Cricetulus griseus: one gene and its partners. Each later gene encodes a partner of the first gene's protein in a complex. Links are inferred from orthologs where the notes say so. Each region holds a gene or a part of one and is shown in the gene's direction. Other genes may lie near its edges. The genes, in order: Tgfbr1, Tgfb3 and Gdf11.

The links.
Region 2: the proteins of Tgfbr1 (region 1) and Tgfb3 are in contact, whole or in part, in a crystal structure (PDB 9B9F), measured with the Homo sapiens proteins. The link is inferred for Cricetulus griseus from reciprocal best matches to the Homo sapiens genes TGFBR1 and TGFB3. Residues at the interface, in NP_004603.1 of Homo sapiens: His39, Leu40, Thr42, Lys43, Phe55, Met70, Ile78, Phe84, Val85, Lys91; in NP_001316868.1 of Homo sapiens: Ala301, Leu302, Asp303, Asn305, Tyr306, Tyr350, Leu351, Ser353, Thr357, Thr360, Leu364, Leu368.
Region 3: the proteins of Tgfbr1 (region 1) and Gdf11 are in contact, whole or in part, in a crystal structure (PDB 6MAC), measured with the Homo sapiens proteins. The link is inferred for Cricetulus griseus from reciprocal best matches to the Homo sapiens genes TGFBR1 and GDF11. Residues at the interface, in NP_004603.1 of Homo sapiens: Ile78, Pro79, Asp81, Arg82, Phe84, Ala87, Pro88, Ser89, Ser90, Lys91; in NP_005802.1 of Homo sapiens: Phe322, Ala324, Phe325, Gly326, Trp327, Trp329, Ile330, Met382, Tyr384, Phe385, Asn386, Asp387, Ile392, Ile396, Pro397, Met399.

What each region holds. Positions count from the first base shown.
Region 1 is NC_048595.1:96,011,050-96,021,028, reverse strand, and holds part of Tgfbr1 (TGF-beta receptor type-1), read left to right. Parts: intron 1-2,780; coding exon 2,781-2,948; intron 2,949-3,347; coding exon 3,348-3,504; intron 3,505-5,617; coding exon 5,618-5,742; intron 5,743-6,958; coding exon 6,959-7,089; intron 7,090-9,347; coding exon 9,348-9,473; 3' UTR 9,474-9,979. UniProt on the Homo sapiens protein: Transmembrane serine/threonine kinase forming with the TGF-beta type II serine/threonine kinase receptor, TGFBR2, the non-promiscuous receptor for the TGF-beta cytokines TGFB1, TGFB2 and TGFB3.
Region 2 is NC_048598.1:117,738,952-117,748,787, forward strand, and holds part of Tgfb3 (transforming growth factor beta-3 proprotein), read left to right. Parts: intron 1-3,442; coding exon 3,443-3,550; intron 3,551-5,095; coding exon 5,096-5,267; intron 5,268-7,746; coding exon 7,747-7,900; intron 7,901-8,838; coding exon 8,839-8,997; 3' UTR 8,998-9,836. UniProt on the Homo sapiens protein: Transforming growth factor beta-3 proprotein: Precursor of the Latency-associated peptide (LAP) and Transforming growth factor beta-3 (TGF-beta-3) chains, which constitute the regulatory and active subunit of TGF-beta-3, respectively.
Region 3 is NW_023276806.1:129,035,758-129,045,683, forward strand, and holds the end of Gdf11 (growth/differentiation factor 11), read left to right. Parts: intron 1-2,949; coding exon 2,950-3,347; intron 3,348-3,907; coding exon 3,908-4,288; 3' UTR 4,289-7,097; downstream 7,098-9,926. UniProt on the Homo sapiens protein: Secreted signal that acts globally to regulate anterior/posterior axial patterning during development. May play critical roles in patterning both mesodermal and neural tissues. It is required for proper vertebral patterning and orofacial development.

The sequences.
Region 1 (9,979 bases):
GATCTGTAAGAAGGCTGTGATTCTACAAACAGAAATTGTTCCCTTAAAGGACTTACCCAAATTTGTGATGTCTAATTCTATGATGGTGGTGACTCTTGTTTACACTTGAAGCTTAACCCCCTTTTAGGTTTATTTCAGGCATGTTCCAGGTTACAACACATAAGTGCAAATCGCTGAACCTGTTGTGCCCTGAAGTGTCATTTGTTCAAGCAGTAGTCAAGTGGATGCTGTCATCTGGTGGTCACAGTGGGAACTAACTGACCCTACTGGCTTTCTCCTATCCCTTTTTGCTTCATTGGGTGTTAATGAGCAGAACCTAGACTTCCTACCCAGTTCTCTTTATCTTAATCCTCTTGATTTGGTTAATTTTGCCTAGGCCAGCCTTAAACAAAACAAAATAAAGATTTATTTTTAATTATATGTATGTGAGTGTATCTGTGTGTGGGTATCCCTGAGTACAGGTGCCCAAGGAAGCCAGTTGCATAGGTTCTCCTGGTGATGGAGTTATAGGCAGTTGTGAGCTGCCCCAATAGGGTGCTGGGAACTGAACTCTGATCTCAAGAACAATATGCACGTTTTTTTTGTTGTTGTTGTTGTTGTTTTTGTTTTTTGAGACAGAGTTTCTCTGTGTAGCTTTGGCGCCTATCCTGGCACTCGAAACCAGGCTGGCCTCGAACTCACAGCAATCAGCCTGCCCTTGCCTCCCGAGTGCTGGTATTAAAGTCGTGCACCACCAATGCCCGGCCTCAGTATGCGTTCTTAACTGCTGAATCATCTCTCCAGCCTCTTCTTGCTCTCATTGTATGTACAGCCTCTTCCCTCTTCTTCCCTGGTTGGATACCTCAGGAAATCTCCCTGTCCTGCCCTGTTCTCTATCTGTTGTAGTTTTGAACTTTCAGAACTTTCAGAGCACAGTTACAGTTAACAGAGATGCACATGAGCTAGTAGTGTACCCATACCAAGAAAAAGACTTTAGGAAATTCAGGAAGAACAGTTCAAAAAAGAAAAAAGAAAAGAAAAGAAAAAAACTAATCAGTATTCTTTGGAAATACCAAGAAATAACTTTGCATGTGGCTAAAAAGATGACTCAGAGCCCAGGTTCAACTCTTAGTACCCACATGGTGGTTCACGATTGCCTGTAACTCCAGTTCCAGGGGATCCAGTACCCTTTTCTGGCCTCCATGAGCACCGGGCACACAAGTGGTAAAACACTTTCATGCAGGCAAAACACCCAAACATAAAATAAAATGAAAAATAAAGGATTCTCCAGATTCTGTAGTTCTGTCTTTTTTCTTGATCTTATCTTCCCCCTCCCCCTGCCCCTCTATAGATCTTATTTTATGTTTTCTTTTGTTTATAGCTATTAGGGATCAGCATATTTTAAGTTCTCATGTGCCAAACATTGTATTACCTACTTTAAAAAGAAATCTAGTTCTGTATTCTCTTTGACATCCTAAGAGTCTTCAAAGTTGTTTGGTGTTGTATAAAAGAAGCATAACCCCATTGAGAAACTTGTCTGAGGCCATGGAATCAATAGCATACAGATCCTAGATTGCTGCCTGGGTCAGTATGACTTGTTTTAGTTAGTTTTTTAATGCTGTGGTAAAATACCATGACCAAAACCAAAATGGGGACTTCAGGGTTTGTTTCAGCATGCATATCACAATCATTGTCCACATGAAAGGAAGTCAGAGTAGAAACTGGAGGCAGGAGCTGAAACAGAGGCCATGAAGGAATGCTTTTTTTTACTGGCTTGCCTCTCCATGGCTGGCTCAGCCTACTTTCTTTTAGCACCCAGGACAAGCGTAGGGGTGGCACTGCCCTTAGGTGAATGCCACTGCTCCCTCCTTCCCCCCCATCATTCATCAGGCTCATCTACAAGCCAACTTAGTGGGGACATTTTCTCAGTTGAGATTCCTTCTTCCCAAATGACTCTAGCTTATGTCAGGTTGACATAAAACTAACTGTATATGACTTAAGGGTATATCTTTTACTGAATTGTGCTGTCTCTTGTTTTCACTTCTCAGTTAAATAGCATTTAACTAGCATCCTTGCTGTTACTCCTTTGAGAAAACACATTTCAGATGCATGTATCAGCTTACCAAGGAACTCTTAGTACCCACATTCCACTTTGTGTAGGTTCCAAATCACTTTGTGTAAAATGAGGCTCAGTCTTAGTCTTTTCAGCCTTCTCTTCTGACACTTCAGTTCCTGTCTCAGCATCAGAGGTACCACTATTTTTGTTTATCTGAGGTAGCAACATTGAAATTATAATCAACTAAATAACATCTCTGAGAACTCTACAGTCTGTCGCTAAAGCTTGTCAATTCTCACCAAAGTTTTCTCACAAGCTATATTCCATCTATGCTGAGACTGTGCTGGGCTCCCTGGATGTTTCTCATTCCTACTCCCTGCTGCCCTTCTTCCTCCATAAGCAAACAATGAACACTAATCTGACCCAGGTACCTTTCTAGGCTCCAGAAGCCCCAACTCTGCTACTCTGTAGGATGAAGAAATCAACATTGTTGGAATATGATTCCTTTGCTCTTAAATTATTTATCCTTGCTGTGTCTCAAGAATATGGGGTATATTCTGAGGGTCGAATATATGCACATAACAGTGTATAAAATTGAATATAAGAATGTGGAAGAAATTCGTGCAAACTTAAGGTGACATCATATTGCAGTTGTGTGATCAAGATTGATAGTGAAAAGTGATAACAGCCTGAGTAGGCTCTAAGTGCTTTGCAGCCCAACTGAAATGTGTGTTCTGATTTGCAGACAATGGCACATGGACTCAGCTGTGGCTGGTGTCGGATTACCATGAGCATGGGTCCCTTTTTGATTACTTGAATAGATACACTGTTACAGTGGAAGGGATGATCAAACTTGCTCTGTCCACAGCAAGTGGTCTTGCCCATCTTCACATGGAGATTGTTGGTACCCAAGGTAACTTTCTATAATTCCTGTTATTTATGCTTAAGTTCCTGTGAATATAATACGTATTCAAAACTTGAAACCTAACTGGAAATGTGTAGCTTTTAAAAATTTGAATGGTTTTCCAATGAAAATCTCAGAAGTCTGGAGATTTACTTAGAGATCAACAAACAAACAACTTTTTCACCTTAGTTTTTTAGTTCTTAGATTTATATTGTCTGAAGGTTTAAACAAAACTTCATCCCTTTTGACACAGTGATTCACTGAGGTTAGTAGTAGTTCTTATAGTTGTTATAGTTGATGTAGCTCAAGTGCCTTCATCCTGGGACAGGCTAAGCTTTGAGATCTAAAAGTAAATTGTGATTGGTGTCACTTGTTAAGCAGTCATGTCTAACTTTTGGTTTCCAATAGGAAAGCCAGCTATTGCTCACAGAGATTTGAAATCAAAGAATATCTTGGTGAAGAAGAATGGAACCTGTTGTATTGCAGACTTGGGATTGGCTGTGAGACATGATTCTGCCACAGATACAATTGATATTGCTCCAAACCATAGAGTAGGCACTAAAAGGTACACTTAGGAATCAATGGTGTTTAGTAATGCCTTATGTCAACTTCTTTTCTTTCCTATCTCTTCAGAAACTCAAACTTGGTCCTTTATTAGACTGTTGACACGCTTTTAGAGTCTTTGCTACTTTGAAACCTCGTTACCTAACTTAAAAATGAACCTGTTGATAGAGCAACCCTTCTAGAAAGTATTATCATTAACTAGGTTAATTGTAAGAGCAATAATGTCTTAGTTAGGGTTTCTATTGCTGTGAAGAGACACCATGACCACAGAAACTCTTATAAAGGAAAATATTTAATTGTGATGGTTCGCTTACAGTTCAGAGGTTCAGTCCATTATTTTCATGATGGGACATAGTGGTGTACAGGCAGACATGGTGCTAGAGATTTACATCTTGATATACAGACAGTAATAAGTGGTCTGTTTCACTGGGTATGGCTCGAGCATATATGAGAACTTAAAGCCCTCCTCACAGTGACACACGTCTCCAACAAGACCACATCAACTCCAACAAGGCTATACAACCTAATAGTGCCATTCCTTTTAGGGGTCATTTTCTGTCAAACTACCACAAATAATAACTAATAGTCATCTATAACTTGCTATAGTTTCTACTGTAGTAAGCCTGTTTTCATATTTTCTGTTGTCTTTCTTCCTTAGAACGTTTGTGTATGCTGCCCTTAAAACATACATCCCCCTTAATAGCACTCCTGACTCAAGGAAGCCTTTTTTGGTCCCCAGGACCCTTACATGTTCCTGGCATAGCACAATGATAAATGACTATTTGAGGGAGGCATTTACTTAACTGTTCTCACATTATATTCTAACTGACCATTTATGTGTCTGGGTCTGTGTATTCCATTGGATTGCAAGAAGCTTAAGAGCAGTTTTATGTTCCAGGTACTTGTTGAAATGCCAAATACACTTTTATATTTGCATTCATGCGTTCTCAAAAGAACTTCCATAGATAGGTGTCGTTACTATTAATTCAACCACCTTGTTGGTTAAATAAAGTAACCCACTTCATGTGGCTGACAAGCTGATATGGACTCAAAGTCTTACTGTGTTTAAAAAGCACTCACAACCTTTCTTCACAGCTAATGTCTTGAACTTGGAGAAAGCCAGCAGCTTTAGTCAATCCAAATATAATTACACTTTCTGGGTTCCAGGGGGACTGGCTGAGGGAGCCTCAGTAGTGGTCTGAAGGACCTGTAGCTGTAGTAGGATTTTAGAAACTATAGAGCTGGGCAGTGGTGGTGCACAACTTGATTTCCTGTACTTGGAGGGCAGAGGCAGGCCGACTTCTGAGTTTGAAGCCAGCCTGGTCTACAGAGAAACAGGACAGCCAAGGATACACAGAGAAACCCTGTCTCCAAAAACAAACAAACAAAAAAGAAACAAACTTCAGAACCCAGTAATTGGTAATGTAGCATCATCATGACTGACATTCCTTTTATCTGTTTGTCCCTTTCTTCTTTCCTGTTTTTTTTTTTTTTTTTTCTGTTTTGGTGAGGAGGCTTCCAGATTAAAATATGTAGTCCCTAAATAGTAGATGAGGGTGATGTACATTAGGGTATTGGTAACAGCCACAGCTGTTCAGTGTGTGCCTTTTATAAACCTTCATCAGAAGGCAGATGGCATGGAGCTGCCATTTCAGCATTTCATGAGATTTAGTCAACATCATTAATTTGCAAACCAGTTTAGATACTTAATATTTGCTTGAGCCTGATATGATCTCAGTTATGTGATAGTTTTGTGCATGTTTAAGGAGGTCTGACCCATGTTAACACTTGTGGTAAGGGGGTGATTTTTTTTTCACCTTGTACTTTATATACTTGGGAAGTTTTTTTTTTTTTTAATAGGAAGAGTGAATCATTTTTAAAAACAGAACTATAATAAAAAGAGAAGTTTTCTTGGTGTGATAGTGTACACCTTTAATCCAGACCCTTGGGAAGCAGAGGTAGGTGTTTTTTTTAGCAGCTTAGTATATATAGTAACTTTTCACGGGGGCTTCATAGTGAGACCCCATGTGTCTTTTTACCAGAAGTAAAAGACAGTGTATGAGACAGTAATTAATATGTTTTGTAGTGGACTGAAATGCTGGCTTCTTTTTTAGGTACATGGCCCCTGAAGTCCTAGATGATTCCATAAACATGAAACACTTTGAATCCTTCAAACGTGCTGACATCTATGCAATGGGCTTAGTGTTCTGGGAAATTGCTCGGCGCTGTTCCATTGGTGGTAAATCGCTCTCCTTTCCCCAGTTATCTGTCATGAGAAATTAGTCAAGAGTTTTCTTTTCTCTTGACTGAAATTTTACTGTCAGCAGTCTGACAGGTGACCACTGAGAATGTCACAGGAACAAAAGATAAACCTCACCAACACACAGCTTTTATCCAGAGTCATGTTCTGTTGCTATTTAGTCTCAGAGAGTGTCAGAACCTAGCTTCTTGTTATTTTGGATTTAGTTGTTTGAAAGGCCACCTGAGAAATTGCTTTTAGTATGGACTCAGCTACATCTTTTTTTTTTTTTTTTTTAACACTGGTTGTTTTCTCCAGCTTGATTGTTGAGGATCCTTAGACATATAATGACAATTGCATTATTAATGTTGCGTACTTTGTAGATTTTGTTTTAACTTTTGGTTTTATATTAGACTGAGAACTTGTCAGTGTTTGCTCAGACACTGTCTCTTAGGCTTAGGAATCTGTGTGAGACTTAGAACTTGAAAGTTTGAGACAGTGATGTATAGAGTATGCTTGGTGTTATAGCATAGGACATCAGATTAACAGGCACAAGCAGAGGAAGGGACTTGTGGGATTCACATCTCCTAATAAGAGTATATCCGCATCTTCTGTCTGGTGGAGTTGTAGTCAAGAGTGTCAGCCTGGTTATCACAGCACACTAGGTTCAAAATGGCCTTGATTTCTTTTCCATTGCTGTAGTACAATGCTCCGGCAAAGGCATTCTAAGGGAGGAAGGGCCCGTGGTTCCAAGTTACAGCTACCATAGAGGGAAGTCACAGTGGCAGAAGCTTGAGGGAGCTGGTCACATGACATCCACAGTCAAGCAGCAGAGAGCAGTGAGTGCATGCTGGTGCTCGGCTTGCTTTCTCTATTTATACACTCCAGGATCCCTTGCCTATGAAGTAGTACTGCCCATAGTTAAGATGTGTCCTCCCAATCAAAATAATCCCTCACAGGCATGCCCACGGGTCTGTCTTCCAGGTGATTGGTAGATTTTGTCAAGTTGACAACACTATCCTTCACAAAAATTGCAAGCCCAGTGATGACTCAAGTAGGTGGGTTATTGATGCAGATGTGGGTGAGATACATAAATTTGTGAACCTCACTTCACCTACTGGATGTAGAGATGGGCCACAGTAATGAGCCTCTCAAGTAATCCTTCCAGTGATGTGGCAGGAGCTGATTAATTTGGATTTTGTTTTAACCAATACAGGAATTCATGAAGACTATCAGCTGCCTTATTATGATCTTGTACCTTCTGATCCATCAGTTGAAGAAATGAGAAAAGTAGTTTGTGAACAGAAGTTAAGGCCAAATATTCCCAACAGATGGCAGAGCTGTGAAGTGAGTGTTTCCTTTTGATACTAGGCTATTTACTAAACTGTTTCTACTTAGGAGGCAGAAATTTGTCACTCTTCTATAAGGAAAAATTCTTGGTTTCTTTTTCTTTTTCATAAACAAATAAGTAAAAATAGAATAATTTGTTTCTTGAGACTATAAAAAGGGCCATGAAACATTTGCAGTGGTCAGTGGTGTCTGGACATTGTTAGATCTGCCATATGAAGTCAAGTGCCTGCTGTTGAAATGAATGCCTCCCTTTAGCCAATGTAGCCCAAGCACTATGACAAACACTGGGCAAGAATGTAGAGGACTGTCAATGCAGGCTTGGGTCCTTTCAGACTCAGATGTGGGCAGGCTGCATCAGTTCTCTGGAGCTTAGCACCCTTTGTAAGGTGAGGAGCTTCAGTACGGTCTTGCAGAGCTTCAGATGTATGACCTGTATTCCTAGGATTCAGTAGGACTACTCCTCAGGAGGGAGGGAGGGGGTACTTTCCAACAGTCTGGGTACAGGTTCTATTGACAGCTGTTACTAGGATGATAGTGCAGCAGGATGTGCCTTCCAGACTTGATGTTTTGTAGATGAACTTTCAGAAAAAGAAAGAAGAGTTGGACACCTCAGAAGTTCTCCACTGACATCAGTGTGCTCCCTCAGGTGTGACTGAGTTGGTAGAGTGCAAGATTGGCATACCTGAGGTCCAGGGATTGCTCCCCAATACCACTTTAAGGCAGGGTAGTGGTACACAGGTCTTTTAGTCCAGTATTCCAGAGGTAAAAGCAGGAAGAACAGGAATTCGAACTTAACTTCAGCCAGCTTCTGGCCAACCTGGGCTTCATGAAACCCTGTCTCAAAATAGCAACAATGTTAGAGCTCTTCATGGGGCCCCAAGGAATTATACCACGGTGGTATTTTGTGATTTTAGAAGTCCCTCACGTACTTTTGTAATTTCTACAAAGTTCTACTGTTTATTGTTGGAAAAATACCAAACATAAACATTCCTAGAAAAAATGTCCAGGTAGGACACATGCCCAAATGTTAATGCATGGGGAAAGCAAGCCTAAAGAGAAAGGCTGCTTTCCTTTTCCTTAAGATTTTCTTAGAGTAAAAAAAAAAATTTGTACGACACCTCAAGCAAAATGTAATGTGTAGACCCAGAGAGGAGCAAGCTGAGTGTGTTCAGGATCTTCATGTGATAGAACTTGACAGATGAGGGTGTGCTTTGGGTAAAATTATCTCTGGGTACTTGAGAACTCGGACTTGAAGTACACACACACACACACACACACACACACACACACACACACACACACACACACACACACATATTTAATAACTGAAGCAGTTAAAGACAGATGGCCTTTAGGCAGGAAGAAATTGGTTAACATTAAGAACATGTACAGTGCACAGTTACCATTACAGTATGCTGATTAATGCCATCATTGTATGTTATTTTCTCAATATGGTTACTAGTTTTCTGTGTACTTATTGCTATTTCAAATGACTAAGCGGTTAAGAGCACTGGCTGCTCTCCCAGAAGACTGGGGTTCTGTTCCCAGCACCAACAGGGCAGCTCACAGCTGTCTGTAACTCCTCTTCCAGGGGATCTAATTCCCACATAAAGACATACTTGCAGGCAAAACACCAATGAATATAAAATAAAAATAAATTATAAAAGCCTTCATTGAAACATGTAAGAGTATGGAACTGGCTAAGCTTGCTGGCATAGGCCTCTAATCCTAGCTGATCAGGAAGCCAGCAGGAAGGTCACAAGTTCAAGTCTTGCCTGGGCTATAGAGCCAGCCTTGGTAATATAGTGATAGAGATAGTCTTTCTTGGATAAAAACCCTCAAGCCTTGTGCTGGGATGGTGGCTAACGGACTCCTAGCTGTGAAATGTTGGAGTGGACAAGTGCTGGGGTTCCAGTACTTCTTCCTACTTTCCACCCTCAGTTGTCTCTAAAGTACTTAAAAATGAGTTAAGTTCTCACCCAGTGTCTAAGGTAGCAGTGTGGGTCATTTCTTTGGCTCAGTGCTGATTCAGGATTCAGCCTTTTGAGATCTAAGAAAGCTCCCCTGTCCAAAGCCTTTCCAGCTGCTGGCATCTGGATATTGATGGAACCTTAAATCTGCATTTGCTACTACAAAGCTAGAATAGGAACCTTATACATATTTTTTTTTTTTACAAAGTCTTAGAGGGATGTTCTTCCTAGATTAATGGCAAATGGTATGTATGTATTAATTATTTTTCTTATATTTTCTTGTAGGCCTTGAGAGTGATGGCTAAAATTATGAGAGAATGTTGGTATGCCAATGGAGCAGCTAGGCTGACAGCTTTGCGAATTAAAAAAACATTGTCACAGCTCAGCCAACAGGAAGGCATCAAAATGTAACCGAAGCTTCGAGGGAACTCTGCTCTCTTCATATCTGCTCCTGGGTGTGTTTGGGAGGCCGGTTGTTCTACCTCACTGAGAACGAACGGAGGATGCTGCTTCCTCGTGCTGCAGTGGAATGTGGTTAATTGAGAGCTTCCCAGGGTTCCTCTGGGCCCAGAGGCAGCCACAGGGATCCTTTGCGTGCACTATGGATGCTTCTTCCCAGGACAGTTACAGAATGTTGTCTAGTCTACTTTTGTTTTTATTAACAAAGCTTGTTTTTAGAAGATGACTGCTGGCCCTTTAGGGAGCTGCTGTGCTGATGGTCATCCGTGAGGTGAAGGAGCTGGAGTGTCTGTCAGCTTAGATGAAGAAGCACTTGTGATTTTCACTCCTGATTAGTACATTCTCAGAGGACTCTGAACCACTAGTTTCCTTGATTCACTTTGAATGTACTGTTTTATAGTTTTTCAGGATCTTAACCTAACACCTAAAACTCTATAGTCTAAAAAAATGACCTCATG
Region 2 (9,836 bases), on another chromosome or scaffold:
TCACAAGCCTCCTCAAGAGTTCATGGCCTCAAACCAGGCTGCAAACAGACTCCAAGTTGGAGCAGCTGATGGTGTGGATTGATGAAGCCTGAGTCACACCTGTAGTCTGGGAGTCACTCAGGAAGCATCTGCAAGCCGGTGTGCTCCAGGTACCCAGGCTGAGGCCCAGGGCTGCCTGGAGCTCTCTCCAGGACAGGGGGAATCAGGTCCTTCCACCAGTGTGCCATGACTCATATGGCCCACAGTTTATCGGCATACAGAGCCAGGCTGGCAGGATGTACCCAGTGTCAGGCTGGCATGGTAAGGAAGCACAGGCATTTTGCCTCTCAGTGAATGGAGGATCATTGTATCTACAGTGCCTTTTGTTGTTTGTTCTTTGGCCATGACAACTAGGTGTGTAGTATCTCAGCTGGGAATGGTGGCACAAACAGTAATTCCAGCACTAGACTGAGGCAGGAGGATCAACCACTTCCAGGCTGGTCTGGTCTGTATAGTGAGCCCTAGTTTACAGCAAACAAAAAGTATAGTGTGGGCTCTCTCACCGGAGCTCACAGCTCTCTCTCCTGACCTTGAAATGACTACTCGCTGTGGGTGTCTTGGGTAAACTACTTAATATCCCTAACTGCAGTGACCTCCACTGTACAATGAGCTAATGATGTTTCTAGTTGATAGGAGTTTTTGTTTGTTTGTTTGGTTGGTTGGTTGGTTGGTTTTTCGAGACAGGGTTTCTCTGTGTAGCTTTGGAGCTTATCCTGGCACTCGCTCTGGAGACCAGGCTGGCCTCGAACTCACAGAGATCCACCTGCCTCTGCTTCCTGGGTGCTGGGATTAAAGGCGTGCGCCACCAACGCCCAGCTATAGGAGTTTTTTGTTTTGTTTTTTGATACAGGGCTTCTCTGTGTACCCCTGTCTGTCCTGGAACTCGCTCTGTAGTCCAGGCTGGTATTGAATTCACAGAGATCCTCTGCCTCTGCCTCCCGAGTGCTGGTAAAGGCCTGCACTGCCACCAACCTGCAGTTTATAGGATTATTATAGACTAAATGAACTATTGCTGATAAATTCTTAGAGCAGTTTGGCTGAAAGTAATGTCAACAAATGTTGGTAATTGTCATCACCTCTGAGCCCTCTACCTAAAGAGAGAGCCGTAGGCCAAGTTAGGCCACTGTCTCATGCTGGCCACACACACTCTGACCTTTCCTTTTCCAACATGCCCATATGCACTTTCACTTTCTAACACCCAGAATCGTAGAACTTGCTCACTCTAGGTCTCTTCCGCCCCACCTTGCACATCCTTGAACAGGAAGTGCTGTGTGTTGCTTATTGCAGCTACCATGGCTTCTTCCAGCTTCCTAACACCAAGAAGAGGGCAGACGTCATGCCTGGTCATGTCTCCTCTATTGTCCCTCAGCTGCCTGGCTATACCGACTTGTCTCCATGACTGAGCAGACCTGGAACAGAGACCTTCAAGCTTAACAGCTGCCCTTGAAGTTCTCTTTGGGACAGAATAAGGAGAACTGGTTGGACATTGGGGTTTATGGAGGAAGTGAGTTAGTTCCTCACCATTTTGTCTGAGTTCATGTCATCTGGATCCTTGGGATGCCAGGCTCACCACCATGGTGACTGGAATCACCCTGCCCATACCAGTTTTGCCTGGGAGAAGGGTACTGAACCAAATGGATTTTGGGGTGTTCTCTGATGACAGTAGACTTTAGGCAGACATCAGTTGGTCCCGAGACCAGATGACTGTTAAGGTGACTTCAGGGAACAGTAAGCCAATTGTCTCACTGAGATGTTCACCTGGAAAGGTCCATCTTTTGTGATCTCTGTTACAACAGCCACAGCTAGCTGCTGCCCTAGGATGCACAGAGCTCTAACCCACCAGGATTGACACTATACCAGCCTGGTTTTCTCTGTGACTATTTGATTCGGTCAGACTTTTTAGTTACTTTGTGTACATGTATTTGTGTGTGTATACATGCAAGTGTGTGCATGTGTCTGTACATACATGTAGAAGCCAGAGGTCAACCCCCTCTGCTGTTCTCAGGATAGCCATCCACATTGATTTTTTTTTTTTTTTTTTTTTTTTGGGAGACAGTCTCTCATTGGGATCTGAGGCTCACCAAGTGGCTCCCCAATTCTGGGATTACAAGCATGCATTACCACTCCTGGCTTTTTACATGGGTTCTGGGAATTGAACTCAGGTCTGAATGCTTGTGTAGCAGGCCCTTTAAAGACTGAACTATTGTCCATGCCTTCATTTCCTTCTGTTTTTCTTTCTCTCTTTACTTCACCCGACCCCTTTTCTCAAAGTGTTGCTTCGATTTTGTTTACCAAAACATCAGCCCACAGCCAAGAGGAGAAAAGGCCTGAGTTGGCCCTTTGGAACTCAACATCAACAAAGCCCAGCACCTCTAGGTTTCCCCAAGTTCGTTCGGTTGAACTCAGGTCATCTGGACCCTTGAGCATAGCTCTCTAGAGCCACTGCTGATAGACTGACCATTCTGTGTTCACACCTGTGTCCCCATGCAGCCATCCAGTCCCAACCTCCCATCGTGGTGACAGGCTTCTCAAAGAAACTCCCAAGTCATTTTTATCTCACTAAATCTTATTCCTTAGAGAAAATATGACCAAGTATAACCACAGTTTGCCTCGTACATCCTCTGGCATAACTACTTTCTTAATCTCCACGGTGATGGCAGCAATATTGACATTATTTACAAGAACCCTGAATCTCGAGTAGTGTAACTTCTAGCATTGATTTCTGATTCCCTCACCCCGACCCTTGTCACTCCCACCCGTCTCCCCCACCCCTGACACTCAGCTTTCCATTTTGTGGCCTTTAAATACCTCTCTGCCGATAGGTTCCTTAGTTACTCACCTTAGGCCCTGCCCCCAATCCCTGGTTCTTCTATCCTATTCTGCAGACTGACTCAAATACCTGTTCTCCCAGAAGACACCTAGCCGGTGTGAGCTTTTCCTTTCCTTCTTGTGTCATTGCACTTTGTTTGGTTTTTCAAGACAGGTTTCTCTGTGTAACAGCCCTGGCTGTTGTGGAACTCGTTCTGTAGACCAGCCTGGCCTGGATCTCAGAGATCCTCCGCCTCTGCCTCCCAAGTACTGGGATTAAAGGCGTGCGCCACCAACGCCCTGTGTGCCCTTGCACTTTTACCCCATGTTTGTAGGCAACAATCTCTTTATAGTATCCTTTGAAAATGGGTGACTATTTCTATCTGCCTCCAATATGCCTGCTACTAGTCGTTCATAATGTAACAGAAATACACAAGACTGTGGCACCCTGTGCAGGAGGTTCACTCTGGGGTTTGGAAGCAATTTCTGTCACCCGTGACTCTTACTATAACTCACTTCTCACCCTTGCCCAGATGGTGGGTGTGCTGCCTTGTCACTCAGTGTTTTCCCCCTGACTCTGGGCCTTATTTTGCAGAGTCCAACTTGGGTCTGGAAATCAGCATTCACTGTCCATGTCACACCTTTCAGCCCAATGGAGACATACTGGAAAATGTTCACGAGGTGATGGAAATCAAATTCAAAGGTAATGATGCTGAGGTGTGGTGGGATGAGGAAATGGATAAAACAATAGGGGACCCCTTAGAGAACCCAAGGAAAAGGACCAATTTCCCTCATAGAGATGGCCGTTTGGTGCTTGGGTGATTTTTGCTTAGCCCTCAAAGCCCTGAGTATGGCCCGAGTTCCTCTTGGACAGAATACATTAGCATCTAAGAGGCAGCAGGATTCTAGGGAGTGATGAAATCACACAGGCCAGCTGTCCAGGGAACTAGGACAAGAGCACCTCTTTCATAAGCTCGGCACACAAAATGAGGTAATAAATACACACCGCTAAGCCAATGCATGCTCAACCAATGAGCTATCTTCCCCTCTCCTCAAGGAAATGAACTCCAGTGGGCCTGAACATGAGTGCCCTGACTCCCTGAGCTTTCAGATGCTGCTGGACCTTCTTGGTCCTTGCCCAAGAATTATCTGAATTAAGACGGTTGATTGCCCGCTTGAGTGTTTGACCACATGCGTTTATATAGCATTGGCATGATAGTTGACAGGCTTTACAATCTCAATGTCTAATATAAGTGCATTTTTTTTCTGGGGTTCAGGGAAACTCTCTTTTCCTTTTGTGTCTCCATTTTGGGCAACTGAGAAATGCAGTGGTCAGGCCATTTGCCAGAAAGTGAACACTGCTCTTGGCCTAGCGTAGATCTTGGGCCTGGACCTCAGCAATCCCTTACTCTGAATGGGCCCCACCTCAAACGGGACAGGGGACTACACAACTAGGGTTCCTATTCATCTTATATACACGAAAGCCCCTCCCTAAGATCCAAGTTCCTCGTGTAAATTACATTTCTGGAGCTCCTGCCCTGGTAAGGATGGTCAGCAGCCAGCGGCTGTCCTTCACAAACGAGATTCCCCAGTAGAACAATAATTCTAATTTAGGCTTCTCCTTTTCAGCTGAATTTGGGCTCTCTTCCCAAGCCTGTCTTACGCTCTATTACCTCATCTGAATGTTACAGTGAAAACACCCCTGACCCTCTAAGCCCCAGGTGACAATGGCAACAGCTCCTATGTCTGGTTTCTTTGGCTCCCACACAGGCTATCTCAAACTGTGACACTGTCAATTCTCGATGGGACTTCTGTGGTATCTTGACAAATTCAGACTCTAGCAGGAAACCCAGAGTCTCAGAATGACTCTCAGAATCTAGTGGCAGCCCCAAAGTGTGTGATAGGTGCCCATCTAGTGGTGGGAGATACTTCACAGCTCCATGAGGGAGCCCCGGATGCAGCCATCTCAGGAAGGGCAAGGCACTCTTGTGCAGAGTTGTGACGGCATCTGGAAGGGTATCCATGGTAACCTTGAGTACTACTGATGCTGGTTGCTCCACTCAGTCTGTGCCTTCTCATGGGGTGGGGGATGGAGAGGGAGGGGACTTGTCCTGTGTCCTCCTCCTTCATAGACTGTGCCATCCATCATCCTGACTGGGCAGTGATAGGCTGAGACAGGGTGTGGAAGCAGCCTGCAAGGACACTACTTATCTTAGACAGAAGGCTGTGGCCTTGCTTCCCTTTATAGGAGTGGACAATGAAGATGACCATGGCCGGGGAGACCTGGGGCGCCTCAAGAAGCAGAAGGATCACCACAACCCTCACCTGATCCTCATGATGATCCCTCCACACCGACTGGACAGTCCAGGCCAGGGCGGCCAGAGGAAGAAGCGGGCCCTGGATACCAATTACTGCTTCCGGTGAGCCTTGGCCCTATAGGGAGTGAGGTCAACCTTCCCTCCTGTGGCACTGGCTTGAGATCTGAGCCCATTGAGCCAAGGGTCTCCAGTAGTTTTCACAGATGTGCCTAGGAAAGAAGACTGGAAATCTCTTCCAAACCTCTTTGTTTTTCTGGGATCCCAGAATTTTCTGTAGCCTGGCTCTGCTCAGGTCTGGATAAAGTAATGGAGGAGGAGAATCTGGGATGTTGGCACTGGCGATGCCTGGGGAAAGCCTCCTCATGGTCTTCCTGCCTGAAGTGCTAGCAAGGTGTGTTTATATAGGGCTGGGGGTGGGGCGCGAGGGGGAGACTAATGCAGGAGTCCCCTGAAAAAGAGTTTGGTTCTCTATTGTCTTTCTTTCCCGTTACTGCGATAAAATAGTCACCAAACATTAGCGTTAAGAGAGAAAGCTTATTTTAGCTCACATTTCCAGATTATGTCCATCACGGAGGGGACATCAGGGTATCAGGGGCTTGAAGCAGCTGCTCTCATTATATTCAGCCGAAGAGGAGAAAATTGAATGCTACTTTCTCCCACTCCCCTGCCTAGGGAATGGTCCTGCCCACGGGGGTGGGTCTCCCCTCCTCAATTGATGTGATCGAGATAATCCCCGCAGGCATGCCCAGAGCCCTTCTCGCAGGTGATGGTGGATTATTTCAAGCTGACAGTTAACAGGATCCATCACATCTATGCAGGGTTGGAGGATGCTACTGGATGGGCAATGTAGGATGTCTCCATTCATGGGGGAGCTCTTGAATTATAGATATTACCAATGGCTTCAGAAGGGACCTGCCTTCAGAAGCTGCTCCTGCTTGCTTGCTTGCTTCCTTCCTTCCTTCTTTCCTTCCTTCCTCTTCCTCTCTCTTTCTCTTTTTCTTCCTCCTCCTCCGGCTCTTCCTTCTACCCCCTCCCCCACAACAGGGTTTCTCTGTGTAGCCCTGGCTGTCCTAAACTCCCACTTTAGACCAGGCTGGCCTTGAACTCACAGAGATCTGCCTGCCTCTGCCTCCCGAGTGCTGGGATTAAAGGCATGCGCCACCACTGCCACCGCCTAGCCTGCTGCTTCTCTTCTTTATAAACAGCTGGACTGCTCACAGATGTGGGAGGGATGAGGGAGCCTACATACCCAGGGCTAACAGGAAGAAATGACATTGGGAGGGGGTCTGACGGATCTTGCACACTGGGACCTGGGGGTGCATCCATGGACACAGGAAAGGCTGGAGTTGGGCAAAGGATGGGTGAGGTTTGGATGTATAGGGATCCAAGAGCAGGGTTGGGGGGTGGCACCTCCAGGGAAAGGAGCAGCAGAAAGGGTCAATTGGCCAGAGAAGATGCCTGAATGGAGTTGGGGTGGGACAACTAAATATACTGTTAGAGATGGCCAGCTCAGGAAACAATGGGAGAGGTGGTGTGTGCTTGCCACCACCCATTCCAAGGCTGGCTGTAGGTTTGCTCCATGTATCTATTTGTCAGCCAGGATGAATGCACTTAGCTGTGGACAACAGTAACTTCAGCCCTAGGGGATTTCTTGTGGCAGACTTGAGGTTGGTCTAGCTGCTTGATTTTGCCCTTGGAAGAGATAGACATTCTGATCTCTCCTGGTTTGCCTAGTGTGCCGACTCTTCAGCTTCTTGCCTGTGGTCATGGGGCTTTCTAGAACACCAGGTGACTTGTTTGTGCTTAAGAATAAAGGGAGGGAAAAACCAACAGCCTTCCTGTCCCAGCTGTTATTTTTCTAAATAACCAAGTATTTTTGCCAGAACTTGTCCTACTCCCTGCCAACTTCTTTAGTTCTGACTGGCCATTAATCAGGTCACATGACCACCCCTGCCTTCAAGGGTGGCCAGGAAATTGAGTATCCCTGGAATGGAAGGAGTCATAGAAGAATTGGGTTAGGAATGGTTATTTAAAAGGTAAACAATGGAGTCTATCATGGTTTGGTCTTTTTTGTTTGTTTTGTTTGAGACAGGGTTTCTCTGTAATAGTCCTGGCTGTCCTGGAACTCACTCTATAGACCAGGAGGCCTCAAACTCACAGAGATCCACCTGCCTCTGCTTCCCAAGTACTGGGACTAAAGACATGCACCACAATGCCCAGCTATGTTTTAGTCTTAAAATCTATAAGAAATCAGATTTTGGCCAAAGTTGCCTTAGGAAGCAGTGACTTCATGTTGTCTTCAGAAACTTGTTGAAGCTCACGGTATTGCCCAGACTGAGGAGGGATTGCTAAGTGAATTTCTGCAGACAACAGGATTGGAGGGGCCTGATAGCCCCTTTCAGGTTCCCAGGGAGTCATTGTTGTAACCAAACACACTTGAACCAGGGATTTGGTGGACTAGGGTTACCTCCTATGATGGCAGTAGTACTTACGGCAAGGAGAAATAGAAAGATATATGTTAACTTTTTGTAGTCAGTCTCTCTCTCTTTTTGTTTATTTCCTATACATGTTTTTATTGTAGCAACTTGGAGGAGAACTGCTGTGTCCGCCCCCTCTACATTGACTTCCGGCAGGATCTGGGCTGGAAATGGGTCCACGAACCTAAGGGTTACTATGCCAACTTCTGCTCAGGCCCTTGCCCGTACCTCCGCAGTGCAGACACAACCCATAGCACGGTATGGAGCAGGGTGCATGCTCTCTGGGCACTGGGGCACCACTGACTAGGCTACTTATCCCTAGGAGTGAATGAAAAGACTGAATCTTGAGTGATAATATTGGATGAGCAAAACCCCTGTAATAACATTCAGATCTTGGCAGGCTGGCCCAGTTCTACTCAGTCACACTCTGAAATCTAAACTCCTACCGCAGGGGCTAGCACACTGGTAAAAAGTATGCTTAGCATGTGCAATGCTCTGGATTCAGTCTCTAGCACACATACTTAGATGGACATGCACACAGACACACATGGACACACATGCAGAGTTCCTACTATAATTTCAAGCATCCCTTTTATTTCCTTTGTACCGTGGAAGTTATTCAACTGTCACATGCCACTTTGTGTCATAGATGTGCACACCTGGCTGGCCGGATGTGGGGCCCAGAGAGGTTTCCATCTCTGTTAAGACAGCTTAAAGCACTTAGGAAACAATAGCAAGAGAAAGAGTGGAGGGTCCATACCTCTGCAACCTGCCTTCCTCCAGGGGGACAGAGAGCAGGGCAGTCATCTGGGAAGCCCATTTTCAGATAGCACACTGCTGCTGCCTCCTGTCTGGGGCACGCATTCTGGCAATTAACAAATGTGCCTAGGCAGTGGTGAGTGAGAACATTTTCCACCAACGTGGAAACTTAGAGTAACCAATACCTTTTGCTTAGCAGCCAAGAGTTTTTTATCAATTGCAAATCCCCAGCAATGTGGCAGTCTGCCTCTGCCCCACTGGATGACTGCAACTAGTCTCTCATCCAAACTGTTCCCACAATGCATCTTAAACAGCCTCCATGACCACTCTGCTACATGCTCACTCAGAACAGCTCCCCTTCCACCAGAAGTCACAGTTTTTTGGGTACAGGCTCAAGGCTTGGTTGTCTTTTGCTAAATATGTGACTCCATCCATAGGTGCTGGGACTGTACAATACCCTGAACCCGGAGGCATCGGCTTCTCCGTGCTGTGTGCCGCAGGACCTGGAGCCCCTGACCATCCTGTACTATGTTGGCAGGACCCCCAAGGTGGAGCAGCTGTCCAACATGGTGGTGAAGTCGTGCAAGTGCAGCTGAGGCCAGCCTGCGACAGAGGAAGGAAGACTGCCACCACTGGCTGCGGCTCCTTGGGAAACCAAAGTGACAGACCTCAGTCTAGAGGCCTGGAGCCCACGAGCCCTGGCTCCTGGCAAACGGCCGAGAGGGAGGCTTCCTTCTGGAACATTTCTTTCTGCTAGCTCTGAGAATCACTGTGGTAAAGAAAGTGTGGGTTGGTTAGGGGAAGGCAAACTCTTGAGAACATGGAATTTCTGTGGTGCAGACAGAGGTGGTGGGGTAGAGAAGGGATGGTGAGCCCACAGGGTGTGGGGTAATGGGACTCGTTAGGGCTACCCTAGGGAGGACATGGGGTCGAGTGGCGGCTAGGTGAGGGCCAGACTGGAAGGCACTTGAGATCTGAGGTCAGCTTTGCCCATTCAAGTACCACATCTGCTCTAGGGGATCGGGATGTCGTTAGAGGTGGCAAGCATTTTTCTTCAGACAGGTCACCAAGACGAAGTCCCCCAGAATCATCTTTTGCACTGCCTGGGACGAAGGACACTCTGTTCTTTTTGCAGACTGCCCTCTCATGCCAATTAGCATCATCATGAGTCATGACAAATAATGCAATTAGTTTCTGGGCTAGCAACTAGCTATCTCGGATCCTCTGGAGATGCGCAATTCAAAAGCCAAGGTCAGAATTTGTTCTCTCGTGTCTTCCCTCGGGGCCTCTCCTTTCGCCTTCTTCCTTGGTCATATTTGCCCGTGGACATTTGGCTAGACACCTTCCAGGTCAGGGTTCGCTCTCTGGATTCTGGGTCCACGCAGCCTGGGGCATCAGGGATCATTTCCCTCTTACCCTCTTAGACTCCACGCTC
Region 3 (9,926 bases), on another chromosome or scaffold:
TCGGGGGAGGTGTTTGTCAGCAGAGATGGCCTCTGCTCCCCTCCCCCTGCCTCCCCTCCCCCAGCCAACCCCGGACCCCAGCCCCCACCTTTCCTAGACTGTTCTGCCTGCCCTAGTTCCCTCTACCCTCTCACTCTCCCACCCCAGCCTGCATCCCTGAGAACCCAGCCCCCTGCTCTTCTGGGAGCCAAGCCCAGCCCCTCAGTTTGTCTCTCCTGTGCTCACTCAGAGGCCCCTGCCCTCTCGCCCAACCTCCTGCCCCTGGGCCATCCAGCCTGAGTTGGGAGAGGGTGTGTGGTGGGGTGGAGGCTGTAAGCAGAGAGGGGGTTGGGCCTTTGCTGAAAATAGTGCAATGACCTCTCTCCCCCATCAGCACCGCCTACTAAACCTGACCTGCTGCCTGCCACCAACCAAATCAATCCAACACAGATGTGGCCCCTTCCCCTCCCCACCAGAGCTGGGCCTAAATGGGTGTTAGGGACTCCCAAGTCCTTTCCCTCTGTAGCTTTACCTGCTTCTTTGTTCCTCCTGCACCTTATCATCTCTACCCCATGAGGCTTGACTCTCTCCTACCTTTGCCCTCTTAACCTCTGCCCATGCCAGTCTAGCCCACCCAATATTTGCAGCTTCCCAAGCATTGCCTCTCCTTACTGCGATCCCACGCCATTCCTCTGCTCATCTCCTCTAACCTGCCTCATTCTGACCTTATCGTCTCCAACCTCTTCCCTTCTCTACATCTTGTCCCTTAGAAACATGAACTGTCTGCAGATACACAAAGATGTCTGTGTGGGTTCCCTGTGGTGGAGATAGAGGAACCCATGTCCAAAGGAACCAGACTTAGGAATATCCCATTACCCTGTCTCAGCTTTAAGTGGGCTGCTTCGTTTATAAGACGAACATTTATTGAGAAACCATTGTTATTTTTTGCATTCCTTAATGCATAGATATCGTCTGTATCACAGTGGAAGTATGGGGGTAAGGTTAGATACTAGGCAGCAAGTCAGGCAGTGGTTAAACTCACTTTGGTTGCTGCTAGAGAAGAACCTGCAATCCAACATGTGACACAGAAACTATAATGATGACAAAATAGTCTCAAGACAAGTATGAACCCTCAAAGAGATAAGTATCTAATGGCAAGAAACAGATAGTTGTACCCGGACCTGGTGGTACCTGCTTGTAATCGCAGCTACTTAGGAGACTGAGGCAGGGATTTCTGAAGTTCAAAGACTCAAGTACAGAATTTAAAGCCAGCCTGGGCAACTCTGACTCAAAATAAAGATGGGTGGGGAATGTAGCTCAGTGGTAGAATGCTTGGCTAGCAGGTATGAGGTCCTAGGTTTGCTCCCCAGTAAAACACACACACACACACACACACACACACACACACACGTAGGCACAAATACCCTATGCTGTAATTAGATGTGGTGGTATGCATTTGGATTATTGTCACTCTGATCTCATCAGTATCTTTCTTGCCCCAAACTACCCTCCTAATCTCTGAACTTCCATTCCTCATCCCTACTCTACTTTAAGGGAGAATATCAGAATCTGGGATCTTGGAAGAACAAAGGGAAAAGATGCTGCAGATGGATATGGTGTGTCATGATCTGAGTATATAGTCATTAAGTGCTTTCTCCCTCACCACATTTGAAGACTCCTCCTCCTGAGGAGCTATCCAGAGACAACAGATGCTAAGTTCTCCGTGATTGTACAAGTATTATATTTGGGTGTGACAGGCAAGGGCCTAGACATCACCATACTTACATGGCTCCGGAAAAACCTCATTCCATTCTTCCTGTCTACAGTGAGAATGGACATACCTGTCCAAAGGACACATAATTTAGGGCATCTCTAACACACTTGCCAAGAGCTAGGAAGAGCTAGGCATTGTGGAACATGCTATAATCTCAACACTCGGTAAGATGGGGGGGGGGGGAACACGACTGCTGTGAGCTGAGGCCAGCATGGGCCACTTAGTGAGTTCCAGAACAGCCAAGGACACATAACAAAACTCTGTCTCAAAACAAAGACTGAAAAGAGCTTAAGGAAAACTGAGAGGAGCTGGAATAGAAGTAGAGGGATATATTGAGAACCATCCTTGAGAACCTTTAAGATCTTGAGCAAGGGAAAAGGGCCAAAAGGTAACCTTCGAAAAGACAAAGAGGCACCTGGCTGAGCAAACAAAGGGAACTCAATGTTAAAAGGATTGACGTGGTGTGTTAAGTGTTCTTCCTGATGCTTTGGACAAGTAGGACACTTCACGGTCTTTCTTTCCCCCAGAAGCTGAGTTGAGTGTCTTAGCTGGCAGTGAGGAAGCAGCAGTGGAGAGACGACTGAGGAGTCAGACACACAGGGAAGGCTTGGTAGTTCCATTCTGTAAGGTGTGCTACTGGGAATAGGGAGCCTAGATCTGAATTCTGGTTTACTTTATAAATTTAGCCCACACTCCACCTCTCTGAACCCTGGGCTATTTCCTCTGATGCTTCCTTTGCTTTTTTTTTTTTTTTTTTGGTGGGGGGTTGGGGAGTGCTGCCAGGCTCCACCTGCTCACTAGACAAACCAGGAAGAAATGGGGAAAGGAAACTTGAGGACATATAGTATAGTAAAGAAAGGTAGAGTAAAGAAAAAACTAGAGACCACTTGAGCAGCACCAGAGGCAGAAAAGGCTTCAGGTGAGGGAGACTTGGTAACCACCGTAGCAGGTCATTTGGTAGATGGATCCTCTGTGTTAGGAGAAATGGTATAGGGAATGAATATAGATCAGTAAGGCCCTAACAAATTTATCATCCTAGAGATGAGATCTTAGGTACGAGAGACATAGTAGCTAACCAGACAGGCACAGGAGATCTGGAAAACAGGCTGAGAAGAATCTGCTAAGGCCACCCAGGGCTGCTAAACCCTTCCACAAACACCCTTTGCTGATGCTGTGCCCCCTTCTCTCTTTATCAGCGGACCCTGCAGTGCAGACAGATGGCAGCCCTCTCTGTTGCCATTTCCACTTCAGCCCCAAGGTGATGTTCACAAAGGTACTGAAGGCCCAGCTGTGGGTGTACCTTCGGCCTGTGCCACGTCCAGCCACAGTCTACCTGCAGATCTTGCGACTGAAACCCCTAACTGGGGAAGGGACTGCAGGGGGAGGGGGTGGAGGCAGGCGGCACATCCGTATCCGTTCACTAAAGATTGAGCTACACTCACGTTCCGGCCACTGGCAGAGCATCGACTTCAAGCAAGTGCTACACAGCTGGTTTCGCCAGCCACAGAGCAACTGGGGCATCGAGATCAACGCCTTTGATCCCAGTGGCACAGATCTGGCTGTCACTTCCCTTGGGCCAGGAGCTGAGGGGCTGGTGAGCAGGGGGCCTGTAGTGGTGGTGTGTGTAGGAGATGGGGGTTAGAAAAAGTAGATCAGAAATATGGAATTGGGGCCAGGAACTAATTCTGTAGGTGGAGGTGGGGTGGCAAACTATCACTTTTCATGGTTTTAAGCCAGGATACAGCTGAAAACTGAAACTTGATTTGGGGTGTAGGTGTTAGTGGGAGACCCGTGGGAACACAAAACTGACCCTTGTCTGGGTGGGGTGTTATCTAATCCTAGCACTAAGGAGGCCAGCTTGAGCTATGTGAGATCAGTATCTTAAATCAAAACAAAAAACCTGGCCCTTGATGATCCTGGCCCTGGGCCAAGGATCTCATGAGGTCACATTGCCAGGAAAGGAAAAATTAGGGAAAGGGAACAGAAGAGATAGCTAGATGGCAAAAGGAGTGGGTAGGTTGGTCTGTGGGTGGGAGCAGTGAACACACAAAGATGTCAATGGTTTCTGATCTGATGCTCCTTTTGAGATGCAGATAGGAAAGAGAAACTGTTCAGGGCTATGTCACATCTCTTTCCCCTCTCCCTGACCCCCAGCATCCTTTCATGGAGCTTCGAGTCCTAGAGAACACAAAAAGGTCGCGGAGGAACCTAGGCCTGGACTGCGATGAGCACTCAAGTGAGTCCCGCTGCTGCCGATACCCACTCACGGTGGACTTTGAGGCTTTTGGCTGGGACTGGATCATCGCACCTAAACGCTACAAGGCCAACTACTGCTCCGGCCAGTGCGAGTACATGTTCATGCAAAAGTATCCACACACCCATTTGGTGCAACAGGCCAATCCAAGAGGCTCTGCTGGGCCCTGCTGCACCCCTACCAAGATGTCCCCAATCAACATGCTTTACTTCAATGACAAGCAGCAGATTATCTACGGCAAGATCCCTGGCATGGTGGTGGATCACTGTGGCTGCTCCTAAGGTGTGGGCTACAGTGGATGCCTCCCTCATAGACCCTACCCCAAGAACCCCAGCCCTGGTCCCCATTCCCCCAAGCCCTAGAGCGCCCTCCACCTCTTCCCGTGAACACCACACCTTGTTCCCTGACCAAGCAGTGTGCAATACAACAGAGGGAGGCAGGTGGGGATGGAGGGGTGAGGGTTGGGAGAAAGGAAGGGCAGTCAGGGTGGAATGTATCTGAGATTTGCAGGTGAGAAGGTTTGGCAAGAAGACAGGTATAGAGACAGAGGAAGAATGATAGAGAGAGAGGGAGGAACAAACAGAGCAACACTGAGAAAGCAAAGGAATAGAGGCTGAAGATAAGAGTAGGTGAAGATAGACGAGGAGAAAGAGACTGAAATGGAAGAAAAATGAGAGTCCTGCCTCAAGCCTCCTTTTTTTCTACCAGCAAGGCGAGGCTTAGTATAGTTTGGGGAGTTCCCCTGACAACTCAGTAGGAGTAAATCAAGTCCATTCCTAGCTTCTTTCTCTCCTTCCAACAGCAGCCAGAAGTGGAATGAGCATGGGGCAAAGGACCTGGGAGTTTTTTATTTATTTATTTATTGTGACTTAATTTTTTTTTTTTTTTTTTTTTTTTTTTTTTGGTATTTGGCTTTACTGGAATGGGAGGGACCCTGCCCACTGTGCCCCATTGGCCCTTACTCCACAAACCCTGCTCTCCCGCATACCAACCTACTTAAGCACTTGTATTAAGCCTCCAGGGTTGGGAATGGGAGTAAAGGGCAAGAGGGCTAACACATGGAAGCTTCTAACCCATAATCACCCTAACCAACCTTCTTGAGCCAAATGGGTTGAGCTGAGTGGTCATGGAAACAGAAAGAAGTTCAGACTTAAGAGCTGGGGGGAGGGGAACCTCAACATCCAGGAACTATGAGAACTACTAAACTACCCCCCAGGCCACCTACCTTAATCTCGGTATTTAGCCAGGGGGTACAGCCTGCTTATTCCCAAATTCCCCTCAGCCAAGAGACCAAAGAGCCTGTGGAATGCCCCTGCTCTCAGCCTCTATCTTCAGGTCAATAAAAATTAGAAATCCCAGAGTCCCCCAGGTCTGGGAAGGGTTAAGGGTCAAGAAAATAGTAAAGAGGCTGAAGGTTACAGGGCATCTGAATCCAAATCACTGCTCTAGGCTAGGGAACAGAGCCAGGAGACCAAGGTGGAAGGGATTCTGAAGGGGGACATTTTAGTCCCCCTACCCCAAAGCTCAGGGTGGAAGAAGGGAGAACAAGGGAGCAGAGTGTCTATAATTTTATCTTTTATTTTTGGAATATAGCAGTACCTGACAGCAGGGAGGGGACAGTACAGGCATGTGACAAGGCCAGTTACAACAGAGGATGGGAGGATGGAGAATCCGTGGTTTGGAAGGTTTAGGAAGCAGGCAAGCGATTAGCTGCTACTTCATGTCACTAACTGGGCCCATCCGTTCCTCCCACAATCCTGACCCACCCTCCTCTGGACTCACTGTGCCTCCGTTTCTTCCCCTTGATGGAATGAGAAACAACAGCACCCGCCACAGTCAAGAGATGAATTCTGAGCACTTACCACGGGCACTTTATGGACATAAAATACCTCTCGCTGTGGGACTAGATAACCAGGGCACCACCATGGTGGTGAAGAGACGTGAGGCTTAGAGGAGTCACAGGCTGCAGAGCACAAGTCCCCCCTGCCTCTCTGCTGGACAATGCCTGAAGCCAAGGAGTTGAAAATCTCCACACCCTAACCATACCTCACCAGTGGCCTCTTGGCTCCAGACAAGAGTCTTAAAGAGGGTTCAGGAGTGGAAGTGGCAAAATGGTCATGAGTAGAGCCAGCCTTTATGGTAGAGAAAGTACTGAACTGAACCCTGGCCAGGAAGGTCTGTGCTTCCTAAGAGCATGTTTCTCTCACTTGGGCCAGACCATAGGAAGGACAAAGGTATGTGACTATCCTTGGCACTTAACTCCTATTCTCATAGTGAGAAAAGGAGGTAAGATGTCTCCTACGAGGAATGGACAAGGATTGTTAAGCCTTTCAACTCACTTCCCATGTAGAGGCTGTCAGTCCCAAGCCTCTCCTCTCTGGTCCCCTTCTTCATTCTTTTTGTCTACTCCATCTTAAAGAACAAGACACATTTGACCATCAACACCAACCACACTTCCTTAGTGGAGGAGAGGAATAGAAAAGCAGAGAGAAGATGCTTTCCTCCAAGGTCAAATGCCTCTTGATCTTGGAAAAGGTAAGGGTGGGATAATTAGGTATCAGGTAATCTCTATAGTTTAGAGAGCTGGGGCATTAAACTTTAAATATTGCCTCTTTATTACCACCAAGTAAATACCTTTCCAGAGGGAAAGAGTTCTCTTATGAATACAAACCTGAGTTAAGTCTCCTGGTCTTTTTATCCCCTAAGAGGCTTGAGGACATGGCCTAGCAGTTCAGTGGGACTGGCACTTCCTACACCTTACCTGTGTGGACTGGCCAGTGCTCCTCCTAAAGTATCATTGTTAGTGTAATTCTTTACTTTGTGTATTTGTTACATCATGTGTGTGATTGCCTTTGTTTGTTAAGGGTGTTTGAGGAGTACGGGCTGACAGGGGCACTGGAATGCTAGGAAAGGACTTCACTGACATCAAGGTTTCCAGGAAGGAACCATTGCAAAAAGGCCATCAGAGTTATGTGACAGAGGGCAAAGATGGCCATAGGGTGCTCTGAGTTTTGGGAGAGTCACATAACACAATCCAGCACTTGAACCTGAAAAAAGAAAAATAAAAGCAGTCAAAGAGTTTAGAGTTGAGCAGTGGGTTCTTCTCCCTGATTGAGCGTCACGTTTATACCAGGGAGACTAAGAACTAAAGAGGCTCTCAGAGAACCTTTTTAAGGAAAAAGGACTAAGAAGATGAGGTCCATGGGGCAAAACAGGGAACCCTAAGGGCATGGGGAATGATGACAGGGACACACAGACTGAAGATGGACAGAGGCTGGGAAAGGGAGACGGCAGTCCCAAAAATTATGACAACATCTAGTCCCCCACAGAATGAAGAATCTAAGCATTGAAATGATCTAGCAAAGAGTCTCTTGCTTTTCAGTCCTCTAATCCTGGCTGCCTCAACAGTATTACCAAAATCAAGCTGGCCGCTCCCCATTACAGTTAGGTGCTTCTCTGCCCATTAGCTCTCTCTGTCAAAGCTTTCCTGAGCTAGACTAAAGGGGGCAATGCCTGGGCCTCTCCTCAGTTTCACCCACCTGCAACCCCCCAAAAGAAGCCAGACTGCATAAGCATTGAGTAAGCATTTATATATACAATGCCAATATGTATACAGAGGCCAAGATTAACCCACTCAACACCCTACCCCCATCCATTAGCTGGAACCTACTTGTTGGGGCAGGGGGTTCCTACTTACCCTAGATTTCAATTTTACTCTAGTAAACTTCAGAGCTAATACTCACTGGAAGATTTTATGTTGTGCTTGCTTTGGCAGCACATATACTAAAATTGAAACAATACAGAGAAGATTAGCATGCCCCCTGCACGTGGATGACACGCCAATTCGTGAAGCGTTCCATATTTTTGAAAAACTTTGTTTGGTTATATAAACTATAGGAAAAAGTAAAAAAAAAAAAAAAAAAGACTACTATGTAAACTACATCAGGAATGTGTGCTAAGCACATGATAATGTCATTTAAATCTTACTATATTTAAATCACAATAGTTTGGAAAGAGTCACAGAGCCATTAAGTAATTTGCCAAATCAGGATGATCCAGAAGTAGAAGGTAGAGCAAGGAATCAAACCCAGGTAGTTCACATGCAATAATGTTTTAATCTGTTTCATCTGTTGTTAAAAGATATTAAGAGGTGGAAAACTGAATTCAGGGACAACAGAAAGTGAAAAAATTGAGAAACACCTTGGATCCAAAGGGTTTGGCAGGGTACAGAACCTTTTCCAAAGTCTTTCAAGAGAAAAAAAAAAGTGACTTTAGTGATGGGGATGTAGCACAGATAATAAGAATGTTTGCCAAACATACATAGAGTTCCTGCCCAGCATCTCATGAAACCAGGCATGTTGGCACAGGCCTGTAATCCAAGTCCTATGGAGTAAGAAGCAGAAAGATCCAGAAATTCAAGGCCACCCCTCAGCTTGCTTCATAGCTCATCTGAGGCCAGCCTGGGCTATAAGAGACTTTGTTTCAAGAAGAAAAAAAGAAAAGGGAGGTTAGATTTTGGAGGGCTTAATAAACAGGAAGTAAGTACCACTGTTTATCAGAGGCCTTGTACAAAAGAGCAGTTAAGAAAAACTTACATGTAGTTCAAAGCCAGCCTGGTCTACAGAGCTAGTTCTAGAATGCCAAGGCTACACAAAGAAACCTTGTCTCTAAAAACAAAACCAACAACCAACTTATTCTAGTTGAGCATGGTGGCACACACCTTTAGTCCCAACACTCGGAAGGCAGAGGCAGGAGGATCACTGAGTTCTTGGCCAGCCTGGTCAACAGAGGGAGCTCCAGGATAGCCAAGGCTACACAGAGACACTGTCTCAAAAAAAAAAAAAAAAAAAAAAAAAAAGAAAAGAAAAGAAAAGAAAAAGTCACCGTCTCAACTATCTCAATTCCCTCCTCCCCGTTTCTCACATCAGACTAACAAGTCTCAAAGACTCTTGTACCTTCCTTCCTATAGCATTCACCCATGACCCTTTGAGCATTCTTTCTACCTTAAGCAGTTCTCAGAGCTGGCAGAACCATAAAAAGGTATAGCTTTATAGCTAAGGAATCCAATCCTCACTGAGGCTTGCACAGACCAGACCCCTTAAAAGCTTCTGGGGAATATCGATGCTCCATCAGGACTGGGAGAAGGATGGTGCCTGGGTCCCAAACCCAGATGTCTGTCTAGCCAAACAAAATGGACTTAGGTTTCAAATACTCAGTAAAAATTTGGGCAATCTGAGCGGGGTGTTGGTGGTGCACACCTTTAATCCCAGCACTCGAGAGGCAGAGGCAGGCGGATCTCTGTGAGTTCGAGACCAGCCTGGTCTCCAGAGCAAGTGCCAGATAGGCTCCAAAGCTACTCAGAGAAACCCTGTCTCAAAAAACAAAAAAAAAAAAAAAAAAAAAAAAAGGCACTCTGATCTACTCGAGATAACTGTGTGGAATGACTAAAAGGACACAGAAAAGGATGTTCAGGCTTAGGAGAATCCAGAAATGGAACAAAAAGGGCTAATCAAAATAAAGCCAAAAGTGGTGGTATACACCTTTAATTTCAGCATTCAATAGACAGAAGCAGGTGAACCTTGAGGCCCTATTTTTTGGTTTAAGATTTGAGTAAAGCAAACTAAAACAATGAATATACCTTACAAGAAGACCTGGGGTGAGTCAGTAAATGCCTGATGCTCAAGTATAAAGATCCTGAGTTTGGAGCCTCAGTGCCCACATAAAAAGCTAGGTCTAGTAGCATTTGTCTGTATCCAGCCGAGCTAAATCAATGAGCTCAGTAAGGGGCCCTGTCTCAATAAATTAAATGGTGAGCCATCAAGGAAGAAATCTGATGAGGATCACCAGCTTCAACAGGTACACATACCCACCACATGAACACATGAATACATCACACACCCATAAAAGTAAAACCACAAC